Sus scrofa: one gene and its partners. The protein of the gene in region 6 interacts with the protein of the main gene of each other region in a biochemical or structural test. Links are inferred from orthologs where the notes say so. Each region holds a gene or a part of one and is shown on either strand. Other genes may lie near its edges.

What was found.
Region 1: the proteins of LRRK1 (region 6) and SNX9 form a complex in vitro, tested with the Homo sapiens proteins (2 studies listed by BioGRID and IntAct, with this or other methods). The link is inferred for Sus scrofa from reciprocal best matches to the Homo sapiens genes LRRK1 and SNX9.
Region 2: the proteins of LRRK1 (region 6) and CLVS1 form a complex in vitro, tested with the Homo sapiens proteins (2 studies listed by BioGRID and IntAct, with this or other methods). The link is inferred for Sus scrofa from reciprocal best matches to the Homo sapiens genes LRRK1 and CLVS1.
Region 3: the proteins of LRRK1 (region 6) and ECHS1 form a complex in vitro, tested with the Homo sapiens proteins (2 studies listed by BioGRID and IntAct, with this or other methods). The link is inferred for Sus scrofa from reciprocal best matches to the Homo sapiens genes LRRK1 and ECHS1.
Region 4: the proteins of LRRK1 (region 6) and GAK form a complex in vitro, tested with the Homo sapiens proteins (2 studies listed by BioGRID and IntAct, with this or other methods). The link is inferred for Sus scrofa from reciprocal best matches to the Homo sapiens genes LRRK1 and GAK.
Region 5: the proteins of LRRK1 (region 6) and TCF25 form a complex in vitro, tested with the Homo sapiens proteins (2 studies listed by BioGRID and IntAct, with this or other methods). The link is inferred for Sus scrofa from reciprocal best matches to the Homo sapiens genes LRRK1 and TCF25.
Region 7: the proteins of LRRK1 (region 6) and SCEL form a complex in vitro, tested with the Homo sapiens proteins (2 studies listed by BioGRID and IntAct, with this or other methods). The link is inferred for Sus scrofa from reciprocal best matches to the Homo sapiens genes LRRK1 and SCEL.

What each region holds. Positions count from the first base shown.
Region 1 is NC_010443.5:9,236,175-9,240,141, forward strand, and holds the start of SNX9 (sorting nexin-9), read right to left. Parts: upstream 2,801-3,967; 5' UTR 2,578-2,800; coding exon of another isoform or gene 2,566-2,577; intron 1-2,565. UniProt on the Homo sapiens protein: Involved in endocytosis and intracellular vesicle trafficking, both during interphase and at the end of mitosis. Required for efficient progress through mitosis and cytokinesis. Required for normal formation of the cleavage furrow at the end of mitosis.
Region 2 is NC_010446.5:72,254,460-72,258,542, forward strand, and holds the start of CLVS1 (clavesin-1), read right to left. Parts: upstream 2,801-4,083; 5' UTR 2,595-2,800; intron 1,690-2,594; 5' UTR 1,588-1,689; intron 1-1,587.
Region 3 is NC_010456.5:141,346,071-141,350,138, forward strand, and holds the start of ECHS1 (enoyl-CoA hydratase, mitochondrial), read right to left. Parts: upstream 2,801-4,068; 5' UTR 2,715-2,800; coding exon 2,627-2,714; intron 1,190-2,626; coding exon 992-1,189; intron 586-991; coding exon 458-585; intron 1-457. UniProt on the Homo sapiens protein: Converts unsaturated trans-2-enoyl-CoA species ((2E)-enoyl-CoA) to the corresponding (3S)-3hydroxyacyl-CoA species through addition of a water molecule to the double bond.
Region 4 is NC_010450.4:294,145-298,258, forward strand, and holds the start of GAK (cyclin-G-associated kinase), read right to left. Parts: upstream 2,801-4,114; 5' UTR 2,711-2,800; coding exon of another isoform or gene 2,566-2,710; intron 2,111-2,565; exon of another isoform or gene 1,549-2,110; intron 1-1,548. UniProt on the Homo sapiens protein: Associates with cyclin G and CDK5. Seems to act as an auxilin homolog that is involved in the uncoating of clathrin-coated vesicles by Hsc70 in non-neuronal cells. Expression oscillates slightly during the cell cycle, peaking at G1.
Region 5 is NC_010448.4:191,840-195,339, reverse strand, and holds part of TCF25 (transcription factor 25), read left to right. Parts: intron 1-1,267; coding exon 1,268-1,350; intron 1,351-2,080; coding exon 2,081-2,211; intron 2,212-2,364; coding exon 2,365-2,464; intron 2,465-3,100; coding exon 3,101-3,194; intron 3,195-3,500. UniProt on the Homo sapiens protein: Component of the ribosome quality control complex (RQC), a ribosome-associated complex that mediates ubiquitination and extraction of incompletely synthesized nascent chains for proteasomal degradation.
Region 6 is NC_010443.5:139,492,743-139,496,925, reverse strand, and holds the start of LRRK1 (leucine-rich repeat serine/threonine-protein kinase 1), read right to left. Parts: upstream 2,801-4,183; 5' UTR 2,477-2,800; intron 1-2,476.
Region 7 is NC_010453.5:49,770,091-49,773,590, forward strand, and holds part of SCEL (sciellin), read left to right. Parts: intron 1-721; coding exon 722-830; intron 831-3,280; coding exon 3,281-3,383; intron 3,384-3,500. UniProt on the Homo sapiens protein: May function in the assembly or regulation of proteins in the cornified envelope. The LIM domain may be involved in homotypic or heterotypic associations and may function to localize sciellin to the cornified envelope.

The DNA of each region.
Region 1 (3,967 bases), about 130 Mb from region 6:
TCAGTATACAGTGATTAGAAACAATGAACACACAACTTCTTTAAAATGTGCAGCTACTGATTAATTTTCTCTGGCAGTGAAGAACTGCTCAATTCAAGTATTTCTTCCAAAAGATCATTTCTTTCTATTGTGAATATACCAGTGTAGTTTTTTAAAAAGAATGATAGTTCAAAGATAACTGCATCTTCAAGAGATCATGTAAGAACAATTCCTGAGAAAAGGGGATCTGAGGAAAACAGAAGCCATTCTCTAGTAAATTCAAACCCAACACTTTGAGTAAAGGGAAACCCAATACTACCTAAAATGTCCAGAAACTGTATTTATTCCTCATCACTTAATGCTGTGGCAGGAGCCTGAGTGCCACATGAATCTTCAATTTTTAAACAGATGTTATTACTTACTAAAAGTACGTTCTCTCTGACAAGTACCCACCCAATTAAAGAAAGGGAGGATAAAACCCCCAGCTACTCAGACGTTGGTAAGGGCAGGGATCCAGGAACGACAAGGTCAAACTTACTCCCTGGGAACAATTTAAAAAGGAGACTTTGGTTGGATCCAAGGGTCACCAGAAAGTAGGAAAAAACCAGAGAACTGAGGAAGAGCCCTATATAATAAGTGCTTCTCTGCTCTTCCATTTATTAAAAAACAAAACTGGAAGTGGTTTGTCACAACGTAAACATGGCAAGGAGGACCATGTGGAATAGTGATTACAATGGGGAAAGAACCCATAGCTCAGAATTACTGGAATTTGCCTTCAGAGGCGTGCAGATAATAAAGGAGGAAGTGGTTACACATGCTTCAAGGCTCATGCCGAGTGAGGATATATGCAACTCAAGTTGAGTACAAGTCACTCTAATTTTATGGAAAAACTAAGTTCAGGTGTAAAGTATCAAATAAAACTTTCATTCCATATACCAATACCAGCTGCTGAGTTCCACTTGTCTCTATAACTAGCCCCAGTAGATCAGGACGCAAAATAGCACAACACTGACCACCACTGAAAAGATACCGACAACAACAAACAGCTTTTAAAGTTGCGAGTTGAGTGTCTATAGGACCTGTAATTGGTCATTTCTGGGCTGTTTGGGAACAAACCTCAAAATCAAGTTCCCTTAGAAATCCTTGGCTTACCTCTTGTTTTTAAAAAGACCAAAGACAAAATGATACATGTTAAAAGGGCAGCAAAGTTCTATGGCATCTAATAACACCAAAGCAAAGCAATGCCAATAATCCATAAACCAGAAGGTAATTATTGCAGTAACAGCAACAGGTTCACTGGAGAAGAGTCTCCATTAAAAATAATAATAATAGTAATAAACACTGCACCTAGACAGACACAGAGCACAACATTTAACAGACTATCAATCTGATCCTTCAAAGGGATGTGACATTTATTATTAGTTTTCTAAGTTTTCTCTCTCTACCCAAAACAAAAACCCAACAACAAACTTCTAAGATTTCCACCAACCCAGGAGTAGCTTCCAGGTTTCAAACATAAATATGGAAGGGGGTGCTGATGTTTTAAAAGGGAACATTACAAAAACTATTTGCAAAAAGCAATCAGATAAAAAAGTCAACTCAAACCACATCACTGGCTCCAGACGGAGGGGACTCCCTACCTCTAGTCCTCATTCCGTGATCGTGGCTTTTTTTTTTTTTTTTTTTTAATTACGAGCCTGCATCAAACTCTAAAGAAAACGCCCCAGCCCAGGGAGCGGGGGAGGGTGGCTCCTGCAGACTCAGGTGACAAAAGGTGACCGCTAATCCCACCGACAATACCGTGAAATAAGCAGACCAGTCCTCCTGGCCAATTACCAAGCGCGAGTCAAAGTTCCACCACGTAATTCGGGCCTGGACCTTTATTCAAGCAAATACGTAACTGAAAGCAGAGTCATTTCCCTCTTTGTATTTTATTCATGCTGGAAATAACATTCAAACTGAAAAGGTAGCAAGACAAAAGGAAAACAAAAAACAAGAAAACCGAAGGCAGTGGAAGCGCGGGGCGTTCAAGTGGCGTTTTCCGTCCTCGGGAGCCTCCGGTCACCGGCCCGAACTCAAAATCCCCAGCGCGCTCGGGCCGGGGTCTCCGGGGGAATCGGCCCCCCGCCAGCGGCCCGCGACGCTGGGGTTCCCGCTCCGGCGGGCGGCGGGCGGCGGGGGCGACGCTCTCCGGCGGCGGCCGGACGCGCGGGGCGGCGGGGAGTGGACGCCGCTCTGGACGGAGTCGGGCCCCCGGGGGTCGGGCGGCGCTGGCGAGCCGGCGCGGGGGCTGCGGGAACTTCGCCTCCCTCCCGCCCGCCGCGGCCCCCGCTCAGGAGCAAACTTTGCAGACAGCGCGGCTCGCGTCCGGGGGACCCTCCCGCGCGTCCAGCCGACCCGGAGCGCCCCAGCCCCGGCCGCCCGTCCGTCCCGCGCCACTCAGGCCCCTCAGGGACTGTTGGCTGGGCCCCGGCGCGCCCCCTCGGCCTCCCCGGCGGCCGCCGCCGCCCGCGCCCCCCGCGCCGACCCTGCCCGCGCCGCGGCGGGGCCGAGCGGCCGGCCGGGCCTGTGCCGCGCGCCCCTCACCTTGGTGGCCATGGCGGGCGGCTCCCCCGACCCGGGACGGCCGGCTCCTCTCCCGCGTCGCGGCTGGCGGCCCGAGGCGGCCCGGCGAGAGCGAAGGCGACGGCGGCTACGGCTGGGCCCCGGCGCGGCGGCGGCGGCGGCGGCGGCTCCGCCTCGGCCCCGAGTCTCGGCGCAGGGCGACTCCTGCCGCCGCCCGTTCCTCCAGTTCCTGAAACTCCCCGGCTGCGCGGCCCCCGCCCCCGCCGGCCGAGCCTCCCATTTACCGCGGCGTGCGCGGCGCGGCCGGCGGAAGCGCGCCCGGTGCCCTCGGCCGGCCCGGCCTCCTCGCCCGCTTTCCGCCCCCGCCCGGAGCCTCCGCCCCGGGCCCCGCCGCCGCCGCCGCAGGGCGCCCTTTGTTCCAGTGCTCGGGGCCGCGTCCCGAGTGGCGGCCGGGGCCCGGGGTCACCGCCCGTGGGGACCGAAGAGGGGAGTGGGGACACGCTCGGGGGCAGCGCCTGCCGGGGGAGCCGAGTCCCAACCGCCCCCCCCGCCCCCCGGCGGCCACCGCGGCTGAACTTTCTGGGCGAGATGCACCGGGTGCGGCCGGTGCTCTGCGTCCCCCGGCGGGGCACGAGTCCCCCGCGGGCTCTTTGTCCCCCGTCGGGACTGCGGCGGGCCCGTCGTGCTCCGGGCAGAGTGCAGTGAGTGTGCAGTAAACAGCCAGCACGGCGCCGAGCAATGGCTTCCCGGCCCTTCAAGGAGGATCTGCCTCCAGCCTGGAGTTTACCGCGGGCTGTAATCTCGGCTGGAGCTTCTGGGCCCCGACGCTTGAGAATTTCGTTCCGAGGCATCCCCTTAACCTCCTTCTGGCCTCTTGATAAATGTAGAAGCTTCTCAGGGCCTCAGAGGTTTGGGGGAGACCCCACAGGTTTCCTGAAAGGGAAAAAATGGGAGTCTAAGAATTTCCATTTTCCTGTCAAAAGCTTTTTCTTCAGGGTTGGATGCAGGGCTGCATTAACGAATGAATGACTTAGGCAGCAGGATTTTCCCTCTAGTGTAAAAGAGAGGACTGGAAAACATACCTTGATGGAGAGAGTAGCGTTGTCCTTCTTGATTTTTATCAGGAATATATATATCCTGGTCCTTCAGAGAACCAGGAATGCCTAAGAAATCCTCATCTGCGGGGTTGAAGCTCAATTTAGGCTGGGAAAGTGATATTTAGAGTCAGAGTCAAATTGTGTCCTCTCAAAAATATTCTGTTTGACTTCCAGAGATTTCACTGGTTACATTCAACGGAAGGGTTTAAAACGGATATGGTACTACAGCTTTCTGTGAATTTTTGTGTTTGCTGAGCTCATGGCTATAGCCATACTCATAATATTCATAAATAGTTGACTTTCTAGGTGAAAGTAAAGTTACAAAC
Region 2 (4,083 bases), on a different chromosome or scaffold from region 6:
AGTGGTATGTCTGGGCTGATTGCATGTGGTCACACTTCATAGCCATTCTGCTGTGTTACCTCCTCTGGGTCACTGTATAACAGGAAAACAGAAAATATCCAAGTCAGCCTGGGTCCATTTACTAAGGGAGGCTCTGCTGGGGAAATGTGTAAAGTCATGACTTGACTTCCCAGGGTTACTAAGGTGTCCCTTTGTAAAGCCTGCATAAGTAAGCAGACACCACCAAGTCTGAAGAGTTCTGGATTCCCCCTTTTGGGGAAATAAAGGACCTTCCAGCTTTATATTCCATGATTCTAAAAAGATGCATCCCTCTGTGAACATGTGTACAAAAGTGTATTTATGCCACTCTGGATGGCAAATGTTTTCTGTTCACCTTTAAATCCATCATAAAAGTGAGAATGTTCTGTTATTGAAAATATGAAAAAAGCAAAATAGCCCTTTATAGAAAAAACAAAAGGAGAAGCCAGGATAGTGCCACTCTATAAAAATTAATAAGCTCAGTATAATATCTTAGTCAAAGAAAGGCACTGCTTCTGAGACAGATGCCTGTAAATCTTATCAAAGCAGGCTTGCTTTGAAATTTCCCCAGCCTCAGGAAATTGTATTAAGCACAGGAAGAAGTAGCATTGAGGGGACTAGATTCCTGGCATGAGTTTCTGGTTCAAGCAGCTAGAACTAGCAATATGTACACTTTAAAAAATTATCTCAGCCGAACCATTCTTTGCAGACAGATAAGGGAGTTTTGAGAATAATCTTGTTGCTTGGGGATTTGAGAGATCCAGTTTACCATGGATATTATCAGTCTAAGGACAGTATAAGGATGACCAGATTTTCTTCTTCTCTAAAATGTTTCACCAGATATTTTCACTAGTTTTCTTGGTTTGAGTTCAAAAGTGAGCAAATTTTAGATGCTGACCGAATTAATTCTTACTACTATTCCTTATTTGAGAAGTGCATTTGGTGTGACTTTTTCCTCAAAACTTCTTCCAGTAGATACTTGTTTGTGACTGTTCTTTATTTTTGACAATGCCTCTGATTATGAGCAAGCTGGCTTAGACAAACTTGCTTCTTTTTCTTTTTAAAGAGGCAGAATAAACATACAATGGCAATTTTTGAATCAGCCTTTTCTGTACTCTGGTTTAAACTTGGTTGTTACATGTGACTGACATTATTCTCATATGAAAATATCATTTATCCATTTTAATAAAGATGTATCTTTATGAAAAACAATTTGCTAAAAAAAAACCCAACATTTTGCTGTGTGGTAATAATTGATTAAATGAACAATCATCAGAGGATTTTTATTTATGACAGGCTCGGGCACTTATTTTCTGAGGTTTGTTACCTCTTATAAAACAGCTGGTCCTGGCTACATCAAAGAGGTGCTATGACTTGGGTTTGGGCCGTCAAGATATTTGAAGATGTTCCAACTTCCTTTCAGCTGAGATAGAAAAGCTTAGCACTCTAAAAGCAGAACCACAGTTACATAAAATGTGTTTTCAATTTTTGTTCACTCTATTGCCCCTTACTATTATAGGGAAATGGTGTTATCACTTGATTACTTGAGAAAGCACACAAAAATCTCACCTTCCAAATCTGAGTCAGTCCTTGACTAGGATGAACAAAGCCAGGCCATCTGCTCTGAATATCATTACTACTTTGGCCATTTGGGCAAGAGATCTATCTTCTCTGTTTCAAAGAGAGATATAAGATTGGAAAATTGAAATTAAATAAGTAGACAGGAAGAGACATTTGGACAAATAACACTTTCCAATGGAAGCCCCATTTGTTAGGTTTTATCACCACCATCATTTTAATTTCCATTCCGGCCACCGAATTAACCTTTGGGGCTTCCATTTTACAAAACATTTCAGTCAAAAACTTAATTCCAGAGTTTCTGCAATAAATGCCTAGGAAGGAAAACGGCATGTGGGTGAATATGAGTCATCAGTCCCCCCCACCCCCTGCTTCCTGGTGATTCTCCATTGGAAAACCAGAAAGGCAGATTGAGTTTAGAGATCTATTTTACCGGAATAATACTATACCCCAGGCCATGTTAATTTCCTAAACTAAACAGTCTCTAATCTGCTGAAAGGCATCTGGCTAACTGCTGGTGTCTGGCAAGTGCCCCATCTGTCCCCTACCCGGGGTCTCTCTTCTGTCTTCACTTTCCCTTTCTCTCAAGCAGGCGTCTCTCTTTGTTTTCAGGGGTGTAGTCCACCTGAACTTTCCTTCCTGTGCCTGAAAACTTGGGCTCTTTTCCTCTATCCTGCGGACCTCTGGCTTTGTCTAAGTGACAAGACACAGTTGTGTTGACTGTAGTTACGGCGCTGGTGATGGTGGAGAGCATGACGGTGATGGTGGAGATGGGGGTGCCGATGGTTTAAGGAGCGCAGGCTGAGCGGGCGCTGGGAAGAGGATGGACCACGGAGACCGTGGAGAGTAGGGTGCGAGAGAGGTGGAGTGCGGAGGGATTGCGGATGGGAGCTGTCCACGCACCGAAGTGCTGAAACGCCGCAGCCATGGCATCGCAAGAGCGGGGAAAGGTGGGGAGGCGCTGAGAATACAGAAGGGAGAAAAAAGGCAACAAATACCTTCACACGGCCGCCCAGCCTTGCTTTGGGAATGTGTGTCTGCAGGTGTCCTCGATGCTGAGCTGAGTGGGTGAGATCCCCTATTCTGGCAGGTTCAGGCTCAGATTTCTCTAGAAAGCTGTGAATGAGAGAGCCCCGGCTCCTAGGGGCTGTGATTTTGGTAGGAGGCGTGTGCGCCCGAGACTCTGTCCTTCTATACGGAGCCTGGCTTTCCCCTGGGTCCTAAAGGCCTCCTCACCAATGCTCTCCCCCGGTTCCGTCAAGACAATACGAAGAATTATTGTAATTTTGTAACATCTGGGACCAAAAAGTACTGGAACCATTCTCCCCACCCCACCCCCCAACTCACACACAACCTTAAAAACAGAATCCTTTAAACAGATTAATGCAAGCTCTGAAATAGACTCGTGTGTGCGTGTGTGTGTGAGTGCGTGTGTGAATTTAACAGATGAGAAAGTAACACAAACCTATGGAGAAAGAATGGATTATTTTATTAACAAAGGGTGGTAAGAAAACGAATGATTTGGAAAAGTCTCCAGTAAAAGCCCCATAGTACCAAAATTAATCCTACATAGATTAAAGAGCTAAATTAAAAAGTAAAATTAAAAAAAACTAGAAGAAGGTAATAAATAGATTTACTGACTTCAGAATAGGGAAGGTTTTCAAAGCACAAGAGGAATAGAAGCAATCCTAAAGAAAAAAGGCCAATAAACCTGAGTGCAAAAAATACTTTTGAATGTAAAAATATCATAAAAACATAAATACAAATAACAACTCAGAAAAATTTCAACAAATATGTATTTCATATATTAAAATATCACATATAGCAAAAGAAAAACACTATCAGCCTAAGAGAAAAAAGGATGACAAGCACACAACAAAGAATTCACAAAATAAAGGTAAATGCTTTATAAACATATATTTTAAAAACTAATTTCTCCTGTAAACATAGACATGTAATTTAAAATAGGGCTGGAGTTCCCCTCGTGGCTCAGCGGTTAACGAATGCAACTAGGAACCATGAGGTTGCAGGTTCGATCCCTGGCCTTGCTCAGTGGGTTAAGGATCCAGCCTTGCCAGTGAGCTGTGGCGTAGGTCGCAGACGTGGCTTGGATCCCGAGTTGCTGTGGCTGTGGTGTGGGCTGGCGGCTACAGCTCCGATTAGACCCTTAGCCTGGGAACCTCTATATGCCACGGGAGCAGCCCTAGAAAAGGCAAAAAAAGACAAAAAAAAGGGGGGGGGCAATTTTGGAGTTCCTGTTGTGGCTCAGCGGAAATGAATGCAACTAGGAACCAAGAGGATGCAGGTTTGAGCCCTGGCCTCACTCAGTGGGTTAAGGATCTGGCGTTGCCGTGAGCTGTGGTGTAGGTTGAAGACATGGTTCAGATCCGGCATTGTAAGTCGGCAGTAGCAGCTCCAATTAAATCCCTAGCCTGGGAATCTCCATGTGCCACAGATGTGACCCTCAAAAGACAAAAAGATCAAAAA
Region 3 (4,068 bases), on a different chromosome or scaffold from region 6:
TTCCTCCCTTCTCTACAGGCTGCAGCCAGCCTCAGGGCCTCTGGTCCAGGTGCCCGCAGGACACCCTGACGTGCCAAGTGTAGAGCTGCCAATGGTAGCAAAAGATGTCAGGTGACAGGACAGCACAGGCTGGAAGGCCACCAGAACTGCACAGAGAGCAAACACGTGTGCCCTTAACCTGGCAGAGGGAAGGACACTCCCAGGCAGTTCCAGGGGCCGCTAAGGACGGGGGGGGGCTTTACCGACAAGGGAATCCATCCGAAGGCCCACAGCTGAGCGCCTGCTGACAGAGCTATAACGCCCCTGGACATTCCTGCCTCTTTGGCATCGCTCGGCAGCAAAGGCCCACGAGCATGGGATAAGATGAGGCCTCCCCTAAGCAAAACTCAGTGCTATTGCACACACACAGGTCCAACTCCTTTGGGTGTCCTGACGCAAGGAGGAGGCGCACACTCACGGCGTAGCCATTGACAGCAGCTATGACCGGCTTCCTGACCCGGGAGAGGTGGTCCCAGTGGCTCAAGAACCCACCGGAGTAGCAGTCCTGGAAGGTCTGGTTCTGCATTTCCTTGATGTCGGCTCCAGCTGGGGCAGAAATGAGGTCCCGGTTACCAGAGCAGAGGCCCCACACCAACAGGTGGCTATGGAGCGTCCCCTGCAGGTTTAGGCCCTGGGGGCTGCAGGCAATGGCCACGTGGACCACAGCTGGGCGGCGGTGGAGCACCACACCACCACACGAGGGGATGCAGAGGGGTGTGGATGGGAAACAGCGCAGGGAGAAGGCGGGGCTCCCTCAACAGTCGCGCGCACACGAGACCTGATGCCTCTGAACACACAGAGCGCCACGCATCAGAGTAGCCTCTCCAGGCAGCTCCGGGTTCCGTCCCGTGCTATGCAACTTTCCTGATGCGTTCACAGATCTCTAGGTCCGCTACCACGCCACGGTGTGATCGTGCACCTGGCTGGCCTGTCACCACGCTGCCCACCTCACCTGCAAAGGCCTTCTCCCCGCCTGTGAGGACGATGGCGCCCACGGCTGGGTCCTCCTCGAAGGCCTGCAGTGCCTGGTTGAGCTCCAAGATCAGGCCCTTGCAGAGGGCGTTGAGTGCTTTGGGGCGGTTCAGCTGGATCAGCCCCACATTGCTGCTCTTCCCCTTCTTTGCGACGACGATGTGCTCAAAGTGTGCGCCTGGGGACGGGGACCACAAGGGATTGCCACTCACAGGGGCAGCAGACTGGGGGATGCACCCACGAGTGCGCAGAGTGGCCCGACAGGACCCCGGAGGGCCCCTGCTCAGCTCGCAGCTGCGCAGGCGGCTTCTGTAGTGCTCTCTGCTTCCAGAGATGTTGGAACATTGCCTTCAGTTAAAAAGTAACAGCAATGAACAGCAGCCTTCCCTCTCCTGAACGCCTGGGTCAGCACCTCCCCGAACCTGCGCTAGACAAGACAGCCTGCGATTCTGCAAATCTGGGATAAGGAAACTCCTTCTTTCTTTCTTTCTTTCGGTCTATTTTTTTGCCTTTTCTAGGGCCGCACCCGTGGCATATGGAGATTCCGAGGCTAGGGGTCTAATGGGAGCTGTAGCCACCGGCCTACACCACAGCCACAGCAACGCGGGATCCTTAACCCACTGAGCGAGGCCAGGGATCAAACCCGCAACCTCATGGTTCCTAGTTGGATTCGTTCACCACTGTGCCAGGATGGGAACTCCAGGAAACTCCTTTCAACAAAGGTCCACTAGGTGCGGGGAATGAAGCTGCACACTGCACGCTTCCAGCCTTGCGGGGAGGCCCCCCTGGGTGGGGGGAATCGGGGGGGGAGGCACACACAGGCAAAGGCAACTGCGGAGGCCCACAGGGGCTGCTCGCCCAGACAAGAAGGTTAACCAAGGTGGTTTGCTTTCTTGAACAGCGAAAGAGGGAGGCAGTACCCATCCCACTGGCTTGTTGGGGAATAACTGAAATCGGACATGTAAAGGCAGCACGACTGTCACATACAAGCCCGGGAAACAACTGCTAATCACAGGCTAGGATGCAGCAGCAGGTGGCCAAAGAGAACTTAAAACCAACACTTGTTAGTTAGGTTGTCAGCGGACCAAAAGTGAAGGAAGAGGCGGCGGGAATTCTTCCCCAGCTCAGCGACGTGGGCAAGAGTTGCCGCGGGGAACTGGGCAGAGGTGCTCGGCAGAGAGGAGGAGGGGCGCGCGGCGGGGGGGGAGGGGCCGAATCCGAAGGCCAGAGCCCAGGAGAAAGCCTGGACCTGGGGAGGCCCGGGCAGGAGGCACAGCGGGACAGCACGAGCTTCCCCTTCCTACTCCAGAGGCGCTAAGCGCACCTTCTCTTAAAGTCTGAGGAATTTCACAACCAACAGCCAAACGCTGAAATGGTCAGAGGTCTGAGCTCTCGGTCCCTGGTCTCTGGAGTTGAGGCGCTAGTGACCCCAGGGCTCCGCCAGCTCGGGCAGCAGGTGCCGGGAGGGGTTGCGAGGCTGGCCGGGTCCCCTGCAGGGGCGGGGTCCCGCCTAGCGGCGCGCCCAGGCTGAGGCCCGGGGGTCCCGGGCGCTGCCGAGGGACCCCCGCCGCGGGTCCGCCCCCGCCCCCGCCCCCGCCCCCGCCCCCGCACTCACTCGAGGCCAAGGAGCGCAGCGCGGGGCAGCCGGGCCAGGCGCGCAGCGGGGCGCGGACGCGTGGCAGCAAGGCGCGCAGGGTCGCCATGGCGCTCCCGGGACGAGGGGCCCCACTGCCGGAAGCCAGCCCAGCGGAGCCACCGCCCAGCGGAGCCGCCCCCCGGCTGCGCCAGTCAGGGCCCGCCCCGCCCACTGCGGGCATCGCGCGACCAGGCGGCGGAAGGGGCGGGGCCGCGGTCGGGGGCGGAAGGAGGCGGGGAGCGCTCAGGTTCCGGCGGGGCGGGAGGAGGGGCAAGGGGTGGGGACGGGGCGGGGCGGGAGGAGGGGCAAGGGGTGGGGCCGGGGCCGAGCGGCGGCCGCAGGGGGGGCGGCTCCGGCGCCGGTCGGTGCCCGCGTCCCTGTCCCCCGGTCCGCGCCGCCTTTAGCGGACCCCGCTCGGTGGCGTCCTTCCAGCAGCCCGAAGACCTGAGAGCAGACCCGCCAGGGCCGGCCGAGCCGTGGGGGTGGGGTCGGAAGCACGCGTGGGCTGCGCGCCGCGTGCGCGAACCTGGAGGGCCGCCCGCGCACACCGGCCCAGGACACACCGGGCGGTGAAATCAGGCCTCCGGGCGACGTTCAGGTGTAATTCGGGGCGGAAAGCCAGAGCAACCCGGAGAGGCCTCTGAGCCGTGCGGTCCTTGAGTTAGGGGATTCTCGTTTGTGTTTTAAAGGGGAGGACAAAGATGCAGTTAATCATCGTTTTGAGCCGTTTCTGTCGGGCTGTCTCTGGTTTTCGGTCTCAGGCCACGTGGTCCATGGCTTGGCGGGCTGGTCGCTCGGCCTGCCCTGGAGAAGCAACCTGAGCTTGTGTGTTGATGTCTGCAGAGGCAGTGATGGTTTGCTGAGGATGTCACCCGCAACCGCGACTTTAGTTGTCTGACTTTGATTGCTATTCAGTTGGCGCAGGACTGAGGTCGGGAGACAAGAAAGAGAAGAAAGTTTTGGGTAGAGAGATTCGTCAGAAGCTCAGTAGGGAAACTAGGTTTTAGGGGGCCTTGGTTTCAATAGTTTTCAATATTGAAAATGTGTATCAGACCCTGAGTCCTTGTGTTTGGAAGGAAAAGCCTTTTAGCCTCCCAGCCTCCCCTCAGTCTCAAAAGTTAATGATTAGAGTTAATGATTAGGAAATTTTGTTATAGCTAAAAAAAACAAAGCAGTCTCCATCATGTCATGCTCTGCCTTGGCCACCAGCTGGACTTTGTTTCCTTTCTCCTTAGAGTTCTAGGCACCTAGTGTCCAGCTTCCCCAAATGACCTCTTCCTTGCTAGTCGCGTGCTTTTACTCTTGGTTACCACATAGGCAGAGTTAGGGTGCACCTAGTGTTTGCGTTTGTACATGGAACACTTGCTAATACACCTTCCCTGTAAGCAGTCTTCATTCAAGAGAAAAGGTTCAGGCATAAT
Region 4 (4,114 bases), on a different chromosome or scaffold from region 6:
AACTAGCTTTAAAATTAAAGTGAAGGAGTTCCCTTCATGGCTCAGTGGTTAACAAACCCAACTATGATCCATGAGGATGCAGGTTCGATCCCTGGCTTTGCTCAGTGGGTTAAGGATCCGGCGTTGCTGTGAGCTGTGGTGTAGGTGGCAGACACAGCCCGGATCTGGCATTGCTGAGGCCGTAGCTGTGGTGCAGGCCGGCAGCTACAGTTCTGATTGGACCCCTAGCCTGGGAACTTCCATATGCCATGGGTGCAGCCCTGAAAAAACAAAACAAAATTAAATTAAAGTGAAAATTAACAGTACATTTTGCAAAGATCACCTGGCTCCACAGTTCTGCCCAACAACCCATTTCAGGCTACAAGTGCACATGTCAAAGCTATGAAAACCAATGTTTTTTCCCTAAATCTTTTCTTAATTTTTTTTTTGTTTTTTTGGGGGCTGCACCTGCAGCATATGGAGGTTCCCAGCTAGAGGTTGAATAGGAGCTGCAGCTGCCGACCTACCACAGCCACAGCAAGGCCAGATCCAAGCCGCAGCTGCGAAGGACACCACAGCTCACAGCAACACCGGATCCTTAACCCACTGAGTGAGGCCAGGGATTGAACCTGTGTCCTTATGGATGCTAGTCAGATTCATTTCCGCTGAACAACAATGGGCACTCCCTCCCCTAAATCATTTGAGAGCAAAACTTGATCTATTATAAAGTCATTTTGGGCAACACCTAACACGAACTGATGTGAGGCTAGCTGAAGACTTAATTATCCCACCGTGAGGACTCACTCCCTTAACTCCAGATACACGAATGCACTTGGTTATGCAACACTTTCCCAACTGCCCTGGCGGCGTGCCAGCTCAGAGAGAATACACAGGCTCTTCCTAGAACCTGAAGAATTCTGAAATTGTCAATACAGGTACCCAAGGGTTTTGGGTTTGGGATTTTCCACATATTTATACAAGACAGCCTGAATTCCCCCAGTCTAGGTTCTACGGTTGCTACTTGATGGGAACAACAGGTTTCTTAGCATTCCAGCTCAGAAAGGAGCTTCGCGAGCTTTAGAAACTGAAGCCAAGCCGCCGGTTCAGTTCAAGGGGAGGAAATCTACAGCTCCTAATCTCACTGGCACCTTGCACCTCCTGGTGTGTCTAGACAACAAGGGGAGCAGGTGCTTTGCACAACCACAGTGGCTGCTTCCATTTCCTTGTTCTTCATCCTGGGTGTTATGCCACAGGCACGAGCTTCCTTCTCTGTGTGACCCACTTCCCATCCCTCCCCTTCTGCACTGGCCCTGCCCCTGGCAGGAGGTGCATTCTCACCCCTCCCATCTCAGCTGGGCCCACCGTCTATCCCACCAGAGGAATCCCCTGCATTGCACTGTCCTTTGTTCATCAGAAAATGTGTCTTATTTAAAGTTCCACAAGGCAGAAATCACGTACTCTCCACTCTGAATTTCTTAAAGAATCAAAATACTTCCCTGGCATTTTCAGAATAAATGATTTGATCTGGGGGCAACTCTCGTTCTACCCCAGATATGAAAGAATACCACACTTCAGAACGTCACTAGCTCTGAAGAAGAGCCTGAGATCTTCTCACCAAATCACCCTCCAAATTCCTCTCTTCCTGACAGTGGAGCCAATGTGTGTGAGGATGCTAAGGGCAGAACACGCCTCAGGCCTTTGGAAACAGCCAGCCATTGTTCCACCTGAAATTGAGCACAAATGGCAGCAGGAATGTCCGCAGTGACTGGCTGAAGCTACAGCTCCGAGGGAAACCACAGCCATGTGCAGCTGTCCATGCAGCCACTCCCTCACGCAGGCTAAAGCAAGGAACACAGCCCCAAAGCCAACCGTGCCACGGCTAGGGGAAGCTCACACGCCCGCGTGATCCCCACTGGACAAAACAGAAAAACGCAGACAAGGAAACAGGACCGCGCCAACACTGGTGGGAAATTCTGTGTGAGGAAGGGAGGCGGGGTGCAGGAAGCAAGAAACAGCGTGCAGCAACACAGCCGACCACAGACTGACCAGCCCCGCGGCGAGGTTCTGTACGGATCCCAACTGCCGGGTCAGCTCGGGCCCAGAGAGGACCGGGGCAGAAGACGCTCCTATGGTAAGAGGGGGAACCCCGGCTACAGGACGCGGCGCTGTCTGTCCCAACACCCTCGCCTAAGGTCCCGAAACCTGAGAGGACCAGCCCCACGTCCACTGTCCCACCGCGGCCCTCGACGACTTATAACCCACCCCCCGGCCCCAGCGCGTGCCTCGGGACTCCAGCCTTTAGTCTTGCGGGTCCCCCTGCCTCCTTTCCGCTAAGGCCCCGCGCGCCAACCCCCGCCGGCCCACCACTCCTTCCCAGCGACACAGCCTCTCCTCCAGCCTCAGGTGAGCCTACACCTGCCGCCACGACCACCTTGCCCCAGCCTGACCCCAGCCTCCGACACGGAAGTGCCCGACCCCACACGGGCCTCCCCCTCGGCAGTCGCCTTCCGGCCAGCCGTGACCCTCCCCCTGCCCGCCTGGTCCTGCCCCGCGCCCCGGGCCGCGCGCCCCCGGCCCCCGCCTCACCCTCCGCCAGGACCCGCCGCACTCGCAGCCGCAGCTCGCCCATTTCCACCGTCTGCCCCACGAAGTCAGTCTGGTCGCGGCCGGCAGCACCCCCCAGGGAGCCCGGGCCCGCCAGGAAGTCGAGCGCAGACTGCAGCAGCGACATGGCTGCGGCCCGCGGCGGGCGCCGGACCGAGGGCTCAGCGTACAGCCGCGTCCGGGTCCACTCGGCAACCGCCGGCCGCGACCGCACCGCTTCCGCCCGACGCCTCCACGCAGGCGCGGGGGCGCGTCGCTGGCCGGAAGAGCGCCGGGCGTCACTTCCGCCGCGCCGGGCGGCTGCGAGTGCGCGGAGCTGGGCGTGGACGCGAGGGTGGGCCGGGTAACGGGCTTCTGGCGCCGAGCTCGAGGAGGGAGCCCGGCGCCCAACCGTTTGCACGCGGCGGTTTCCGCGGAGGCTGGTGTCCAGGGGCTCCCGGTGCCCGGCCGCGCAGAGCCGGTCTGTGTAAGCCGAGCGCCGGGGGGCCCGCGGCGTCCGTCTATTTATTGAGTTGGTTGCCTATAAAAGACCGAAAAGCATCATTTTAAAAGCTCAGTTTTGACGCTTCTGTGGAAAAATCATTTCTGGCAGCACTGGATCCAGAATCCCGTGTGTGACCCATCACCTAGAGCTTCCCCCCCCCCCAGGTAAGACGCTGCCACTTGCCTGACCCCCTTGGCGCGTTTGGCAGCCGGCCGCTTTCGGTAGGTTCTTGTCTGGCGTGTTCACCTCCAAACGGAGAAATGGAGCCACCGCCCCCGGTAGCATCTTAACCCTCCTAGAATTTCAAGCTATTAAAAGTCTCTTTCCGGGAGTTCCCGTCGTGGCGCAGTGGTTAACGAATCCGACTAGGAACCATAAGGTTGCGGGTTCGGTCCCTGCCCTTGCTCAGTGGGTTAAGGATCCGGCATTGCCCTGAGCTGTGGTGTGGGTTGCAGACGCGGCTCGGATCCCGTGTTGCTGTGGCTCTGGCGTAGGCCGGTGGCTACAGCTCCGATTGGACCCCTAGCCTGGGAACCTCCATATGCCGTGGGAGCGGCCCAAGAAATGGCAAAAAGACAAAAAAAAAAAAAAGTCTCTTTCTGGACAGGCTAGCACGTGTTATCACTATAGTAAAGAAGCTCAGTTCATACAATGCTTTACTGCTTACAACATCCTTTTAGAAGCGTTCCTATTAATTATCCCTTTGGGGTGAGAAAACATGCCCAGCAGTGCCATTACTTAGCCAGGGGGCCAGGGTCAACAAGTGATACCGAGTCACATGGCTCTTCCAGCCGCTGCGTTTGTCTGGTAAATGGAACACATCGGAGGCTTGGGAAAAAGTCCGGGCTGTTTTTGGGTGTCTCCTAGCATAGAGGTGGCAGTTGTCTGGAGGAGAGCACCAATGGGACAATGTCGCTTTTAGACTGAAAGTACACTCTTTAGAGAGGAGCAGCAACTAGGGAAGCAAGAAGGAAACTAAAAGCATTATGTCAAATGACTTTGCCATTTAAAAGGAAGGAGACAAAAGAAAAAGAGGAACCTCCACTT
Region 5 (3,500 bases), on a different chromosome or scaffold from region 6:
AGGTTGCAGGTTCGATCCCTGGCCTTGCTCAGTGGGTTAAGGATCCGGTGTTGCTGTGAGCTGTGGCATAGGTTGCAGACACAGCTCGGATCCCGTGTTGCTGTGGCTCTGGCGTAGGCCAGCGGCTGTGGCTCTGATTAGACCCCCAGCCTGGGAACCTCCATATGCTGCGGGAGCGGCCCAAGAAATGGCAAAAAGACAGAAACAAAACTTATGTCCTCCCCACGGGCTTCCTTGTCCCCTTGCCCTGCTCCTAAGACACGGAGACGCTGTGTCTCTTTGTGATACGTCTGGTGGTCGTCTTGAGATCTCCCCTCTGGACTGTCCCTGCCGCCTGGTTCACCCTTCCCTCTGTCTGTTTCTGGTGTCCCGCCGGTGTCTGCTCTCGCGGGCGCCCACCACCCAGCTCGCTGCAGGGCCGAACCTTCCCTGGGACCCCGTGGGCGAGGGCCGTTCCGAGCAGCCTGTTCTCCTTCTCACACCAGTTATCCCAGGTCAGCTGCAGGCTGCTTTCCTTCCAATTTTGGCCATGCTTTTCTTGAGCCTTTTTTTTCTCCTGCAGTTTCCAGCGTTCTTGTTGGAAGAAAAACACATGTTTTCTAATCCCATTCCTAACAAAATCTAGATTCTTACTCATTGTTCTTCGTGAAATAGTTCAGATTACAAAAAAAAAAGCCTACAGAGCAGTACATGCAGGTCCACTTGGCTGCTGCTCAGCTTGAGAAGTAAAGCAGCAAGCGGCAGCGCAGACGACAGTGTGTGACCACAGGTTAGGGGACCCCGGATGAGTGCGCTCGGGCCCCTGCCCAGTGCACTCTGTCTGGCCGGCTTGCTTGCGGAAGTGTGTCGGTCTCGGGGTACCGAGGCCCCTGTCTCGTCACTCTCACGGGCCCCCTTTGCCAAGCGGCTGGCGGTGTTAGTGGGCCCCCGAGAGGGCCGTGGAGGAGGCCCCTCTGCTCTGCAGCGAGCTCTCAGCCTCCACGTCTCCAGTTACGGGTCTGACCTTCGTGGGGGTTTGGTTTGGGTTTTGGGGGAAGTTGGTTTTTTTGGTTTTTTACCTTTTCTGCCACTTCGCTGGGCTCTGGGTCCCATTTCCTCTTCCTGAAGCTGTCGGGTTGCTGGCGTCTCGGTCTGCAGCCTCGGCCTGCGTCTCGGCGGCCAGCTCCCGCTCTTTGCCTCTGTCTCTGTCTTGCTCGTGGGAGTGTAGCTTCCACCGTCTTCCCTGCGGAGGTCCAGCCGCAGAGGTAACCGTCACCGTTCTCCCCAGGCCGCGGCAGAGGCAGCGCGTGTACCCCAAGTCTTCGTGGCTGACCACCCCCAAGAGCACGTGGCCGCGCTACAGCAAACCAGGTGAGGGCGTGGGGCCGGCCTCCGCGCAGAGCCCCAGCCCGGCAGCAGCTCCGGCGGAGCCCGTGTCTGGGCACAGGCCCTCGCCCACCGTGCGTTTCCTCGGGCTTGTTTTAATCAGCTCTTTTCTACTTTGCCCTTTGGACTGCATCCCGTGCTATAGCAAGCAGTCAAGGGTTTTACAGTGGCATTTTAGATTTTGTTGCAAACCAGTGAGCACGCATCATTTAAGGAGCCACTTAAGGAAAAGAGCCCTGCGAAAGGTTGGGGTGTGGGGGAAGGCCCTGCGGGGTAGCGTGGAGGACCCTGGGCCCTGTGCTTGGGTGGCTGCTTGTCCCCCTGGTCATTCACCCCCCGTTCCCGGCAGCGGGACTGGCTGCCCTGGGGCCCTGCAGGGCTGCCCTCGGTGGGGCCTTTGAGAGCGTGTGGTGAGGGCGTCCTGGAGCCCTGGTCTGTTTCACGGGCGTCCCACCCAGAGTCAGCAGCAGGAGTGGACAGGACGGGCGCCTAGTCGAGGGTTGGCCGTGGCCGCCTCCTGCTAGGCCACCTGGGTTTCTGCTCTAAGCAGCCAGTGGTTGGGCTCCCCCAGATGGGGTGGCGGGAGGTGGGCTGTGCCTGGGACGTGGGTGCTCGGACCCCGCTCGGGGGTGGTGGGAGCGGGGGACGATTACAGGGAGAGTATGGACAGGGGACTGGGTGTCGCTGGTGGCGCCCTGACCCGGGGCCCCCCCAGGTCTGTCCATGCGGCTGCTGGAGTCCAAGAAGGGCCGCTCCTGCTTTGCCTTCGAGCACAACGAGGAGTACCAGCAAACGCAGCACAAGTTCCTGGCCGCGGTGGAGTCCATGGAGCCCAACAACATTGTGGTGCGCACGCACCCCGGGGTGGGGGTGGGGAGGGCCGAGCGCCCCCGGGGTGGGGGAGGGGCACGCACACCCCGGGGTGGGGGAGGGGGTGGGGAGGCGGCGTGGCGGCCCCGGGGGCGCGGCCCGCAGCTTGTGTCTTGCTCTGCCTCGTAGGTTCTGCTGCAGACGAGCCCCTATCACGTGGATTCGCTCCTGCAGCTCAGCGATGCCTGCCGCTTTCAGGAGGACCAGGAGATGGCCCGGGACCTTGTAGGTGAGACCCGTGGGCAGCCCAGGCGCAGCGGGCGGGGGGACACTCGCCAGGGGTCTGCTGAACAAGAGCCCTACTGAGGTAGCGCTCGCGTGCGGTGAGACTCGCCCTTTGCGCGTGTGCCGTTCATGGCGTCTGGTGTCTGCAGAGTGGCACGGCCTCATCCCCGTGGGTTCTGGGTCATTTCCAGCTCTGCCAAGAGGAACCCTGACGGAGCAGCTGTCCCCTCCCCTCCCCCAGTCCCTGACAGGCACGTCTGCTCTGTGTTCTGGACTTTCCTGTGATGGAAGCCTGGAACCGTCCCTCTGCAGTTGCAGTCCCTTCCGCAGTGTCCTCAGGCACTGCTGCGGGGCCAGTGTGTCAGCGCCTGCCCCTTTTGTGATGGCTGATGCCCTGGGTGTGGCCGCTTCCACCCTCGGCCTTGTGGGTGCTTGTGGGTTTCCAGGAAGTGTGTGCCCATCTGGTTGGAGGACCTGCAGAGGCAGCCGTGAGCCCCAGGGCACGGCCCTGCCTGTCGCTTTCCAAATCCTGGTTTCCTGGCCCCCTCCCTTCTGAAGCCTTCCTGGTTGTGAGCGAGAAGGGTGGGTGTGCCGCCCCGCGTGGTCACTGACGCCCCCCCCTCCACCCGTGTCCCTGCAGAGCGTGCGCTGCACAGCATGGAGTGTGCCTTCCACCCCCTGTTCAGCCTCACCAGCGGGACCTGCCGGCTGGACTACCGCAGGCCTGAGAACAGGTGAGCCGGCCGCCCGCGGGCCTTCAGCGGCCGGCACTGCCTCCTTTCACCGTCACAGGTGCAACACAGGAGGGCCGCTGTGGAGGCAGCGGGGTCAGATGGCACGGGGCTGGGTCCCCGGGCATCTCGATGTGTTTGAAGCTGGAGTGTAAGAGGCTGGGCTGGAGGTGGACATGCCACCTGGCCGGGGGTTAAACTTGTCCAGGTGAGGAGGGAGCCTCACGGGCTACTTCACCAGGAGGGACCCTGTAATTGTGCCTCCTTATGTGTCTGGACTCCAGAATCTGCAGCCCGCGAGGTTGGGAT
Region 6 (4,183 bases):
GTGCAGATACCAAAGAGCCTGAAGAAACTTGCACAAGTGAAGCATGTTAGAAATGCTCTTATCATCCAGCCTTTTATTTTTTTTTTATTTTTTTCCTTTTTACAGCTGCACCACACCCACAGCATATGGAAGTTCCCAGGCCAGGGGTCGAATCAGAGCTAGAGCTGTGGCACAGGCAACCCTGGATTAGAGCCGCCTCAGTGACCTAGGATGAAGCCTGCAACAACACCAGATCTTTAACCCACTGTGTGAGGCTAGGGATCAAACCCATATCTCTCAGGGACACATCAGGTCCTTAACCTATTGAGCCACACGGGAACTCCCACCCAGGTCTTTTTTTTTTTTTTTTTTTTTTTTTTTGTCTTTTTGTCTTTTTGCTATTTCTTGGGCCGCTCCCGCGGCATATGGAGGTTCCCAGGCTAGGGGTCCAATCGGAGCTGTGGTCTCCGGCCTATGCCGGAGCCACAGCAACGCGAGATCTGAGCCGCATCTGCAACCTACACCACAGGTCACGGCAACGCTGAATCGTTAACCCACTGAGCAAGGGCAGGGACCGAACCCGCAACCTTATGGTTCCTAGTCGGATTCGTTAACCACTGCGCCACGACGGGAACTCCCAGGTCTTTTTTTGAATCAAAAGCCTGGTTGAGATGGTTGGCCCATGGTCCGAGACATCCCTTTGGCACAACTAGCCTCCTTGACCACTACTGGCTTGCCTACAAAATGTGTTTAATAGATTTGTAGACATCAAAATATTACGGTGCTACAAACCGTAGAAATGTGTAGTTCTCAGGCCCAGATGAGAACAGAAGCCCTTTGTGAGCCTAAAGCCACAAACAAGTTCATACTGTCTTTCCACCACTGTCTCTCTACCTGTATGCATTTGGAACCCTCTGGAGCAGCTCTGGGAGTGAAGATGCAACAGTGAGCAGGGACTCTGGAAAGGTCTCTGACACCTGGAGTCTCCAATGGAGACTTTCAGGTAAATTAAAGGAGTAATTCAAAAGATAGAGTAGGAACACACAGCCATTGGCAACTGCAAGGACATACACAGAGAGATGTGAGAGTGAGGCTGGGTTTAGAGGGGGTGGCTGGGTGGGGAGGCAATGGCCAGGTGATCTGAGACGGCAGAAGCCAGATCAGCTGCAGGGATGCGGACGGGAGGAGGTCTTCTGGATTTCGTGACAAGCATAAGGAGATGTTATTGAAGGGTTACAAGCAGAAGACTGACACTCTCGAATTTACCTTAAAAAAAAAAAAATCACCATGGCTGCCAAATGGAGACTGGGCGTATGGGAAGCACTGCAATTGCACAGGTAAGAGATGCTGGTGGCTTGGACTAGAGTGGGCCATAAAAAGGAAGGGGATGGACCCCACACACCTTTGAGACCCAACAGGACTTGCTAACCATTGAATTCAAGGAATGAGGAGTTGGGACAAGGGACGACTCCTAGGTTTTTGATCTGAGCAACTGTGCCTACTACCTTTAGTATGAGGCCACCCCCTGAGATGTGGAGGCTTGGGGCAGGGCCCCCAAAACCTTCTGCAGGACAAATTAGGTGTGAGGTTTGTATGTTTCTAACTTTTTTATTCTTCCGGGGCATAAACAAAGATAATGAAGCCAAACGACCAAAGGAGGGGAATGTTAACATTTTTCCAAATCCTGCATATTCTAGTTGTCCCCTTAAGGCCCAGGGGAATTTGGACACAATAAGTGACAAAGTCTGAAAATGGTGTGTTTGGTGAGAGGCTCACCAAAAACAAACTACAGGCTCCCGTATCTCTCCTTCTCAGACCCCTGCAGGGGGATGTGCTCCTGAGAGAAAAGCTTCTTGACCTCAAACAAAGAGGGGCTGGTCGAGCCCAGCACAGAAGTCGCCCAATTATTCGTTATCATATCCCTCCGACCCCCAGCCTTCCTCGGCAGCCTTCCTCGGCTGCCTTCCTCGGCTCCCTTCCTCATTCCACCACATCCGCGCTCATCTCCTGCGCCTCTGCCGGGAGGTCGCCGCAGAGACCGCCAAGGTGGTGGCGGGGTTTTATCCGCACCGCCGGAGATCCGACCCTCAGGCCAGAAGAGGGCCTCAGCCTGAGGGTGGGATGAAGATGCGCCGGCCGTCGCGCACCAGGCCGTCGGGGCAGGGAGCTGCTGCTTCCCCACACCCCCGCGCTCACACTCAGCTTACACTCTCGCTCACAAGCACATTCACTCTCAGGCTCACACAACGCACACGCGCTCTCACGGCCACTCCGACTTGAAGGAAGCGAGTTTTTCCAAAGGCGGAGGGAGAAGTACTCCTTGCTCGAGTCTGCTCTCCCTGCCCGGGCCCCGTCCCGGGGGGTCTCGGGTTCCCCGCCTGGGCCTCGTGCCCCGTGAGCGCGGCGGCAGGCGGCGGGGCCATGAGCCCTGGGGTCGCCCTGCGCCCGGGGCCTGGCGGCGGGTCCCCTGGCGGGGCGCGGGCCCGGCGGCGCTTACCTGAGGCGGCCGGCGCCTTGGACTCTGCGCTGAGCGCGGGCGGGGAGGAAGACGGCGGATCCGGGCCGGGCCGCCCCTCTGCCCTCCGCCCCTGCGCCTCTGGCCGCTCGCGGGGCCGGGCCAGACACACACTTCCTCAATCCTGAGGAGGGCGGGCGGCAGGCGGCGCGAAGGGTGCGTAGCGAGGGTCGGAGCGGCGGCGTTGCCAAGGAACTGGTTCGGGGAGCACCCCCACCACCACCTCCCCGACCTCCCGCCTCAGTTTCCCTGCTGCAAATCCCAGGCGATCGCGCTCATTGCTCCTGGCCCGGAGGCCCCCCGGCCCTTCCCGCTTTGGGACATCCTGCTTTCCACGCGGGGCGGGCGCGGCGCTGAGAGTGGTCGTTCTCTGCTCAACCCAGCTTCCCCTGCCCCTCTGATCCGCTCCGCTGCAAAATCCGCTGATGAACCTCTGACTCATATATGTAGATCGTATACTCTGGCAGTAAATATGGAAAAGACGGGAATATTCATTTGTGTAAAACTATAGAGCAGACTAGAAATGTGTAACTTTAAAGCTTTAATAGTTTTCAAACTGCACCCCTTCTACCACATGAATTTACTAATGTAATTATGGATGTATACAAATATGTCACTGTTTGGTGAATCATTTTAAATTGCCTGGGGTTATTTTTGAGGGGGGAGGTGGTAGATAAACATTGGGGCATATAGGCAGTTTATTATGTTTCAAGCTACCTTAACTATGTTCCCACCAGTGAGGCCATTGTACAAACGCAGAGCATAAAGATGTATGTCCATGCTTGCAGACAGGCATGGATTTGGCTCCATGTGCCCACCGGGTAAAGAGAAGCCGGTTTGGAAAAAAGCAGATGATTCTTCACCCTGGCAGGACCTGCCTCCTAGGCTCCTCTCACGTAGTGTTACGACTAGAACATTCCCAGGATTTACCCCAAGGCACAAAGACAAATTGCCACCACCCTTACTTCCATTTCACAAAAGCCAGGCAGCTGCAGGGCCATCACGTCACCTCGCGGAAACCCAGGACTGTGGCCCCTCGGACAAGCTCCTTGGGCCCCTCTTTGGCGAGGGGACCGCCGGGCAGCTTTGCTTTACTCCCAAGAGGTTGTCCCTCTAATTCTCCTGGACTGGACGCCCTTTCAAAAGGGTGGGTGCAGTTTTGCAATCCTACCCTCATCACCGCGGTTCTAATTCCAGTATGCAAAAGGCGTTAATATGATTGCTACCGAAAAGTCCCTAATAATTTGCAAGGCGTGGCGTCCACGGTGTTGAGTGAGCCCGCGAATCTCCACAAAGCGCCCCAAGGGCGCGCGGCCCTGCCATCTAGCGGCACCGTGAGGAAGTGCATGCCCAGTGCTTGAGCAGACAACTAGTGGACGTGGCCAATGGGGGGGGGGCAGCAATTCAATTTCCCTTTTAAGTAAGCCTGGGAACCGTCTTGGAAATGTCTCCACTGTAGAAAACCGTTGGGATAGTCTACACACAGGGGGCTTGTTTCAAGCTGATTATATACCAGCATTTAACTCCATCCGTTAGGCGTGTGTTAGTTACAGGTTTACAGGGGGCCATTGCTAGGTCAGTTAAGATTTCCACTGCTTTTTTTTTTTGGCCTTGCCTGGGGAATGGGAAAGTTCCAGTGCCAGGGTTGGAATCTGTGGCACAGCAGTGACCAGAGCCATAGCAGTGACA
Region 7 (3,500 bases), on a different chromosome or scaffold from region 6:
GCAGCTGCCATCCTATGCCACAGCCACAGCAATGCCACATCCAAGCGGTGTCTGTGACCTAAACCACAGCTCACAGCAACGCTGGATCCTCAACCCACTGAGCGAGACCTGGGATCAAACCCTCAACCTCACGGTTCCTAGTCAGATTAGTTTCCACTGCACCATGACAGGAACTCCAAGATTCTGAGTCTTACAATGACACCAAGAGAGGTGGCATAAGGGAGCATTTTGGTGACTCTAGGTTCTAGAGTCTAGGGTATCCATCATATGTGAATTTGCCAACACACCCTTGAATCAATTTCTATTTTTGTCCTACTGAATATTTTGGGAGTTAAATTTTTGTATTAATCTGCAGTATAATTTTTCTATGCTATATGTACATTAATAATTCAAAACTCTCTTCTAGCTTCAAGGGGTACTTAATGACCTGTTTCAATTAGGAAAACTATAACCGTCTTTACCCTGCCCAGATGCACTCTTGATTGCCAATGAATTAATAATTTGCAATTTTCCCTCATGTTAATTCTTTGATATCATTTTGAGATAACTAGAAGAATTAATTCTATCACTAGAATAAGTGAGTCCTGAACTTTCCTTGATTTTTACACAATTTACTAAAGTGTCAACAAAATTAACATATCATTTCCCTATGACTTTATGGGAAATACATATGTCTTTGGCATGGTGACAAATTTAATTTTAATTGCTTACATCTGTATAGGTCTGTCATTGAAAGAGATATGTGTACTTACTGTCGAAAGCCCTTGGGCACAGAAACTAAGATGATTTTAGATGAATTACAAATTTGCTGCCATTCCACTTGCTTCAAGGTAAGGATATGTTTATTACATTTAATTTGATAAGAAATTGCATAATGACTGGAATTAAAAAAATTATGTAGTGAAGTACATGAGATGAAGTTAAAGCTTTCAGAACACTCCCATGCACATTAATAATGCACTATTTAAACATTTCTCGAGCGTTCCGCAGCCTAAACCTCCAAGGTTTATAATTAAGCTTTAGGCTTAGAGTTGATTACTGACACATTTATAACTCTGACCCTACAGATTTCAATCTGTAAAACAATAAACACTTGTTCCTCTTTAGAAAAGTTTTTGCAGCACTTTCATAAATCATGCAGTACCTGAAATGTGGAATGAAATCCAAAAAGGAAAATAAATTGTTGAGAGGAAAGCTAGCAGCTCCTTATATCATGAAATTAGGACCGATGGGCTTAACAATAGTTGAAACTCATTTTGCTTTTGAGAGCATGGTGAATTATAGTTAAACATGGCTTCGTATAATAATAATAAAGCATATATAGTAGAATGCTTTATAGTGTGTATCTTCATATTGCCATGTCTTTTACTTCTCACAAAAACATTGGATTGGTCAACATTACACTTTTTTATGTAACTAAATGAATACTTAGCCGGGAACCTGAAGACCTGACTTGGAGTTCTAACTGATTGTGGTTAAAATTAATTGTGGTCTTGTCACTTTGGACCATCCCCTAAATTAGCTTAGTCTTGGTTTCCTCATCTGTGAAATCAAGTAGCTGAATAAACCAGTGGTTTTCAACCCTGGATGCACATTATAATCATCTGAGATTAGAAGGAAAAATAGAATGCCGGGGACCAACCCCAATTAAATCCAGGATCTTAGAGATGATTCCTGAGCACTGGTGTCTTTGCAAGCTCCTTAGATAGGTCTGACGGCCAGTTTGAGAACGACAGCCTAAACCCTTCGGAGGAGTTCCCGTCATGGCTCAGCAGTAACGAACCTGACTAATATCCGCAAGGACACAGGTTCAATCCCTAGCCTTTCTCAGTGGGTAAAGGATCTGGTGTTGCTGTGGCTGTGGTGTAGCTGGCGACTGTAGCTCCAATTCCACCCCTAGCCTGAGAAGTTCCATATGCTGTGGGTGCAGCTCTTAAAAAAAAAAAAAAAAAGACATAAACCCATGGGGCCTTTCTAGTGCTGGTATTCTCCAGTTGATGCAAATTATCTAATTCAGTCAAGTTGAAGTAATACTTTGACAATTGATTGCTTCTCTTTTAATTGGTAACAGACAGTGACACAAAGCAATTGGAAAGATGCCTTACTTTGAGTAAAAGAATAATCCAGTTTTAGGCCATCATGTATAGAATTCTATAAAAAAGTATATGAAAATGTCATAATTATTGAATTATGAGACAGTGAAATTTCCTTTTAGTTATTAAAATTTACTCACGGAAACAAAAATTAGTCTATATCTCTTTATGTTACATTCTTATGCACTAAACTTTTTAAAAGAAAAAAATTCCCCTGAAAATTCTCTTGCTGTTGGTAAATAGGAATAATTTCCATTTATTATATTTTAGATGGTTTATTTCCATTTTCAATTTAATTATAAAATGCTACTAACTGAGAACAAAAATGTCCCCACACTCGTAGGAAAAGACAGCTTATTCTATAGTCATAATAATAGAGAACCATCTGAACTGGCTTAAGTATGTCTAACGGATCTATGACAATTTGCATCAGTAAACTTGAAAGTCAGCCAATTGGCAATGAACTTGCTCCAGTGAGCGCAAGTCTAAGGCAGATGTCAACCCTTTCCTGCCTTCTTCACCAACACAACTTGAAACAAACTTCCCTCTAAACCTTATGTAGGATCAGAAGCCTGTTTTGCTCAGGGACCCTATTCTTGGACAGCATAGCTCTCCCTTAGTAAGCAAATGACAAGTATTCTTTGTATTTTTGTTTGTGATATCCAGTGGTGATCTTGTCTTTGGCATAACCTTTTTTTTTTTTTTTTTTTTTTTTTTTTTGCTTTTTAGGGCCACACCCATGGCATATGGAAATTCCCAGGCTAGGGGTCAAATTCGAGCTACAGCTGCCAGCCACAGCCAAAGCAATGCCAGATCCAAGCCGTGCCTGTGACCTACAACACAGCTCACAGCAACACTGGATCCTGGACCCACTGAGCAAGACCAAGGAACGAACCTGCATCCTCATGGATACTACTGTTCCCACTGAGCCACAGCAGAAACTCCAGCATAAGCAATTTTTGAAAATGTCTATCCATTCTATTGTGAGTGAGGGAAAAACTTTAGTGTATGGATTAAAGACAAGTATACTTCTACTTTTCCTCTGGGTTTTTCTTGAGGCTTCATTTAAGTGTTTCTATGGAGGATGGTACCAAATGAATTAAAAGGTTGTTTTTTTTTTTAATACTGTTACACCAAGAATCTAAACTTCATATATAATGTAAACTTTATATATACCTTTTATTTAGTGTGAAATCTGCAAACAATCTTTGGAAAACCTACAAGCAGGTGACAGTATTTGGATTTATAGACAGACAATACATTGCGAACCTTGCTACTCAAAAGTTGTAGGTAAGTGTTAAGCTCGGTAAGCACCCATCACTAACATTAATGAGTATTTGATATTGCTGAAAATGAAAGATTTCAAAAGTAAAAAGTGTTTTATTAAAAGTTCAAAAAAATTCAGCT